Linked DNA regions of Kluyveromyces lactis. The protein of the gene in region 1 interacts with the protein of each later gene in a pairwise test. Links are inferred from orthologs where the notes say so. Each region holds a gene or a part of one and is shown in the gene's direction. Other genes may lie near its edges.

What was found.
Region 2: the proteins of NST1 (region 1) and AAN1 interact in binary tests that used the Saccharomyces cerevisiae proteins (3 or more experiments, as listed by UniProt). The link is inferred for Kluyveromyces lactis from reciprocal best matches to the Saccharomyces cerevisiae genes NST1 and AAN1.

What each region holds. Positions count from the first base shown.
Region 1 is NC_006039.1:1,177,472-1,181,647, forward strand, and holds the start of NST1 (Nst1p), read left to right. Parts: upstream 1-1,376; coding exon 1,377-4,176. Other genes in the region: YVC1 (Yvc1p), read right to left, coding at 1-103. UniProt on the Saccharomyces cerevisiae protein: With MSL1, acts as a negative regulator of salt tolerance.
Region 2 is NC_006042.1:2,441,442-2,444,350, reverse strand, and holds AAN1 (Aan1p), read left to right. Parts: upstream 1-1,290; coding exon 1,291-2,409; downstream 2,410-2,909. Other genes in the region: ferroxidase FET3, read left to right, coding at 1-721; PSG1 (Psg1p), read right to left, coding at 2,675-2,909.

The sequences.
Region 1 (4,176 bases):
CTATGCGTAGAATTTGTCTTGAATTAGGGGAAGTATAATTTGATGTATTTGCAGGATCAATCCAGTACTGTTGGGAAGTACTTGGAAGCACAGAAGACTGCATCGCTGCTGACCGGGAGTAATTTATCACTGGCAGATACGCAGGTGGAGTGTGCGACTCTCACTAAACAGAACGGGATGGTTAAATAAATGTACAGCAGAAATATTCTTGGGAAATATCACAGGGACAATAGCTTTTCAAGTTTTGTTTGAGTAGAAAAAGAAAGAAATCATAAACGGCTGTAGATAGTCTTGATGTATCTCGTGCACGTGACCAACAAATTTATCTTAAAAACATGAAATTGCTTAAAAGGATGCACTAGGAAGAGTTAATATGTGGCTTGTTAAACCTATAGTTAGTCAGTATTGTTAATCTCTTGTATATTTGGTCAACCAGGGGTATTTTGTTTTAGCTGGAATCTTGAGGAAGGAGGCGTGCAATTAAAGATAGCGAATCAGAGGACCTTTTATGCGGAGCCAATCTTACTTTAAGCAGTGACATAGAGATATCTCAGGATCATTCGAATCATTTATTAAATATAGAAACGACATAACGGCAATTTAAAGAGTGATCATTTCATCAAACCATAAATGTCACATCAAAGCAGCACTGTATTAACCAAGTTCTCTCGCATTGATCCTGTCATTATCGATTATCGGTAAGCAGGCCTAGAACTCCTTTTCATCCAGCTCTTCATCTTCCGAACTTTAGCCGCCGAAGTTCAAAATATAATTCGAAAACTCCTTCCTTCCAAATCTCTCTTTTTATATAGCACTAAGTAAATATATACGTGTAATTGAGTAACCCTAAGTGAGCGAAGAAAGTACTCATCTCAGACCAGCACGTGATTATTTACCCGCACATTTGCTATTACGTATTACCCGGTTCCGTTATCTCCGTACTTTGTATCTTCCATTTTTTTCATTGTTCACTATGGCTTGCTTGATACGGCACTGAGTGAAATTTTGGAAATCTGGTTTCTTCTCATAGTAAGGAGTTTGAAATTTGAAAAAGCCTTTGAATTCTATCTCATCTGGTTTTTAATAGTGATTCTTTCTTTGTATATAGAAAATTTGGAAATTTAAAATATTGGAATAATGCAAATAAAATGGATATAAAACAAAAATTTGTATAGTGTGTAGTTAAGGAAAGTAAAGTAAAAAGAGGAGTGTAGTTGATATTGAAAGCCGAAACCGGACCAAAGTGCTGCAACTAGTGAAAGAATCTCTAGATCAAAGTTTGGAAAGTATTTACAAGCATCCTTTTACAGTCTTTTTTACTAAAGGTAGTTAAAGAATTAGTGGAAGGATTTAAAGTATCACAGAGAGACTCACAAATGGTGGCACATAAGAAGAGTAAGAAGAAGAGTAAGAAGCAGCATGGTTCTGCGGGTGAAAAGGAATTGCATGAATCGAAGATTCACGCAGAAATCATCGATGATGAAGCAGAGTACCCTACCTCTCGTGTGATCAAAAGAGCCCCAAACGGAGATGTCATAGTGGAATCACTTCCGGAAGAGGAATCATTAGACAGATCAGAACTAAACCAGGATCATCGTTCTGGTAGCAGCAGTAGCAGCACTAATAGTGGCGGTGTTACAAATACTGCAGACTGCAATGCCGATGCTGATAATGAAGAAGTCGAGGATACTAAATGGCCAATCAAGTTAGATACCCATTGGGAATCTTTGTCATTGGAAGAGAGAAGGAATATTCTACGGATAAGCAAAGACGAATTGTTTGATATGATCAAATCGTATAAGAATATGCATAATTGTGATTGTAGCATGTGTGGCCGTCATAACAACCTGAATATAGAGCAAGAAATTGAACAGATATATTGCGAACTTTACGATAGTGCAAGGGAAGAAGATTCAGATACAGATTTTGTACAGTTCCACTTAAAGCTAATAAAAGAATATCAGAATGGTAGTAATAATACACATCACCATATGCGTCACCATGGGGACAAACAGGATTCCAATATTTGTCATGAGAACTTTGCCCATAACGATAACGACGATAATAATGATTCAACGAATAAAAATGCCTTTTTATCTAGCATACTTCCGAAAGAGAAAAATGCTAGCACTTCAGAAAATGAATGTACAAATGATTTCCTCGATTCATTAAGCGAAGATTCAGCCATAAAGTATTGTCTTTCAGAAGGAGCGATAGGGCTGGATAAATCATATCAAGTTGACTTCCTTGGTAAAGAAGAAGTTGATTCAAATATGGACACCATTCCGAACAGTGATAATAAAACGCAGACTGCTTTGGATTGGAAACACGAAATCGAACAATTTAAAAGTAGCAAACAGAAGCAGGTATCTGAGTCTACAACAGGTAAAGAAGCTCTCCCTCCTATCAATGACATAGATAATACTAATGAGGTTATCCCCGAACATGATGAGTTTGACTCTAAGCTTCTCCATTTTGCCAAAACTGTAGTATCTTCTCATCCGCATATTGCCGAGGAATTCATCAACAGAGCTATGATGTATCCCCACATTAAAGCTATAACTGAGGATATGATGAATAATGAAGGTGAAGGTTTGAAAAGAGCTATGGAAAGTCTTGTTCTACAACAGGAACTTCAAGATTGGAGGGAAAACATGGCCGTTTCAATTGAGAAGAAGATCTATGAAATGGACCCCACTGAACCTGTTATAGATGTATCAGAATCCGACAGTCACGAAAATGAAAGGGTGAATGGACCAGCAAATGCTTTAGAAGAAAATAACAAAAAAGACGTTATTGAATCAGACTCTCTGGATAGACCTTCGTTGGTTGATAACAATAAAGTGGATTCTCTGATAGACAGTATTCCGTTTAAATTTGTTAAAGATCCTAAAGCGGTTGCATCGCTGAAAAATGCATTCTATGATATCTTCACTAATAAGACGAGACGCTCTGAAATTGACCAAGACGATAAAGAATATAAAGAAGAACTAGAACGTTTACGTAATGAAATTTCAGCGGACGAAGACCAAGCATCTTATGAGTGGTCCAACGATGAGTATGAAGAAAGCAACGATCATGATGAAGATGCAGAGGGCTATGTTGATGACGAATGTATCGATGATCATCACCTCGATTCTGGCTACGATGATGAAAATGAGGATGAAGATATCATATATGATGACCTACATGAAAACGTGAAACTGAATGAGGACCCTTCTGCTGTGCCAAATGGACACACTCAACTGATTCATCACGACAATTCTGTCACCTCAAATGTATCTGAAGATGGTATAGATGATAATTATGATAGTGAGCTTGATCATGCCGAGCGTTTAGAAGAAGGTAGAAGGCTTATACAGATCGCAATAACTAAATTACTCCAAAAAAAGCTTATCGCTTCCTATCAAGAGAAAGAGGCTGAAAAGAACAGAGAACGATTATTGATGGAACTCGAAGCTGAAGAAAATCAGAAGAAGGAGAAGGAGAAGAAGAAACTAAAGAAGAAGGAGAAGGAGAAGGAGAAAAAACGTCAACAACAACTGGCAAAGGAAGAAGAAAAGAAGAGGCAAGAAGAAGAAGAAATCAGGTTAAAGAAAGAAGCTGAGGAAAAGGAGATTGCTCGAAGAGAAGCTCAGAGGAAAAAAGTTGAAGAAGCTAAACGCAAGAATGATGAGAAACGTAAGAAAAAGTTAGCGGAGCAAAGACGTCGGGAAGAAGAACAAGAGCGCATTCGTAAAGAAAAGGAGGAACAAAAGAGACAGCGCGAAGAAGAACAAAAACAAAAGAAAATGGAAAAGGAAAGAAAACAGCGTGAATTTGAAGAACAACGCCTTTTGAAGAAGAAGGAAGCAGAACAGCTTCAAAAACTAAAGGAAAATCAAAAATTGAATGAGAAGTCAATGCAAAAAAATCAAGACACAACAACCGAAGGTGTTCCTTACGGATCCGTTTCAACCAATCCTCTACAGAATAATTCAACGTTGAATGATGACATTTTCAACATGATCAATGAAGTTTCTAAATCATTGTCGTCTTCACCTTCGCGGAATCAAAACGACTTGCTTGGTTCATCTGTGTTATCGAATGTAGATCACCAAGGTGGATTGAACGCAGGCAATGTGTTCATTCCACCTTCTCTTTCCATGTCAGAAATGTCCCCTCATGCTCAGGCTG
Region 2 (2,909 bases), on another chromosome or scaffold:
TACCAACACAAATGCTTTCGTCTTGAAAAAGGATGAAATTATTGAAATTGTCTTGAATAACAACGATACTGGTAAGCATCCTTTCCATTTACACGGTCACATTTTCCAATTGGTTGACAGAGAACGTGGTTACGATGATGCAATTGGTGAAGGACCTCATCCATTCGATCCAGAAGACCACAATCCTTTCCCAGATTACCCAATGATGAGAGATACCGTTTACGTGAATCCACAATCCAGTATAGTCTTGCGTTTCAAAGCCGACAATCCAGGTGTTTGGTTCTTCCATTGTCACATTGAATGGCATTTGAAGCAAGGTCTTGCATTGTTGTTGATTGAAGCACCAGAAGAAATGCAAAACACTGAATCCCAACAATTGACTGATAACCACAAGCAAGTCTGCGAAAATGTCGGTCTTTCTTGGGAAGGTAACGCTGCAGGAAACACTAACGATTTCTTGGATCTAGTCGGTCAAAACGTTCAAGTGGCTAACATTCCAGATGGTTTCACTGCTAAGGGTATTGTTGCTATGACCTTTTCCTGTCTAGCAGGTGTTCTTGGTTTAATTTCCCTATCAACCTACGGTTTGATGGGTGTTAAGAAGTCAGAAGAAGAAATAATCAGAGACTTAGGTATGGATCCAGATGCCGTCGAAAAGGTCGACGTTTCTGATATCAACTCGGATGAAGATTCTTCCAGAACATCTAAAAACATTGAGTAAACCTCATGTCGTTTAATGAACTAATATTATCCTTCCAAACCCCCAATTCATTCGATCAGTGCCTATACTTTTCCTATAAATATAATAAACAAGGAAATTCCATAGATCTATCATTAATTCAGAACTTTGCCATTGAACTGCAGTTCAGCCTATATCTTTAGTAGATTATTTTGTAATGTATTTTTTATTTTACGTCTTTTTAGCCGTTTTAGTGTGCACTCACGTTGACAATAACTTGCCGTGTATGAAATTTCACATTACTGTTAAGACAAAACTGTAGTTCATTGATTAACCTGAAACGATTTATCTTCTATCCAATAAACTCTTTTTGGATATTTCAGTATAAAATTTCAGTATTGTCATACATGCTAACGGTGGGTTTGTCATTATTGGTTTATCTTGTTTTTTCCTTTACAAAACTATTGAAATTTCACTTTTTGATACTGCAAAAGTGTGTTGAAAACTTGGAAGACATCAACATTCACTGAAGGAATTTGTAAAGGTGACAAGTGGCTGGCCTTACCCTTAGCAAGTTACAGAAACTCGACAACGTACAGGATATAGTGATAATGTCCGCAGAAGCTCGTGTGCCACACGCAACTCGCAAGCCGCGCAAACAAGTGCGATACAAGTTTCAATTTACTAGAGATTTGAGGTTCCAAGACACAAATTATAAAACTGTAACATCCATGGAGTATTTAAGCACCAATTATGGCCAGAGGACAGCACGTATCATACACTCATTCATATCATGCATTCACAGAAAGATCAATCATGATGTTTCGAAGATTTCTGATAATGTAGTACTAAAATTGATCAGGCCAATGGATAAATTAAAACTATTTCTATTGCTAGTAACACTCTCACAACGAGGCGGCCCAGACTATTGGTTGGACAAACATGGTAAGCCGAATAGCTCGGATTATGAGGAAGAAGTGGAGCCAAAAAATATCAAGAAAGAACCAAAATTGTTCTGTACTTTGTTAGAAAATGTGATGAGAGAGAATATCAAGAAGAATTTTGATGAGACACTTTATGACGAAAACTACGTCTACAGTTCTATATGGGCTAATTTCATGGAAGGCTTGATTAATCATTATCTGGAAAGGGTTATCATACCGAAATCAGAGAGAAAAGTATGTCAACAGTTGTACAAACCTATGATGAAAATTATTTCTTTGTACAATGAATACAACGACTTGATAGAAAAGAGTGAGAATTCCGGCTTTATGCTCGATAGTAAATCGAGCTCAGATAATGATAATGTGGAAGTCAAATTAGCTAATGCTCAGAAGCTTCTTTGGAAGGCAAGACAAGATATTCCAAAAACCATAAGCAAAGAATTGACTTTATTATCGGAGATGTACTCTACTTTGAGTGTAGAGGAACAGGATTACCAATTGGATCAGTTTGTATGCTGTGCGGAAGAGTATATTGAGCTGGTTTATCTACCTAGTTTGATCGATGTGCTGTTCGCAAACTGCGGTTCAGTTGACTTTTGGAAAATAATGTTTGTTCTTGAACCGTTCTTTTACTATATAGAGGATTTGCCGGATGAGTCAAGTAGTCTTGATATCGAAGTCATTGATCCTGAGGATGGACTAGACAAAGAGCCTAGAAAGCCTGATCCTCGAGTAGCTACTTTGGAAAAAATCTGTGAAGTAGCGGCCAAGGAGAATTGGATATGAAAAGATATTTTTCTTCTACAGGTGAATAGGTTTATAGCATTTGTTATTGTATATTCATGAGTTCAAGCACTGAAGATTGTCTTTTATAGTTCGTTAAGTTTAAAGGGCTAGTTTACATCGTTCTCAACTTATTCTTAACTTATTCTTAACAGCTTTTTCATTTTGGTGACTAATGTCAATTTTGATTATTAAATGTTCAAACTGCACATAAAATATTAGCTATACAAAATTTATATAGAGTAAATACATATTCGTTCGTTACTTTTCAACTTTGTTTACTACTTTTGTGTAGAGGGAGTTCGTCATATTTGTGATTCTTGATGTTCTTGTATTTTTTCATATCTTTGAACTTACCAATGACTCTACGTTTTTGATTCAATGCGTCTCTTTTAACATCGCTAAAATCTCTGTATCTAGCATTAAGTTGTACGAAGAAGTACATGAAAACAACTGCAAATAATACTGCTGTTGGGATGGTCATTGCAACATAGTACCAAGTA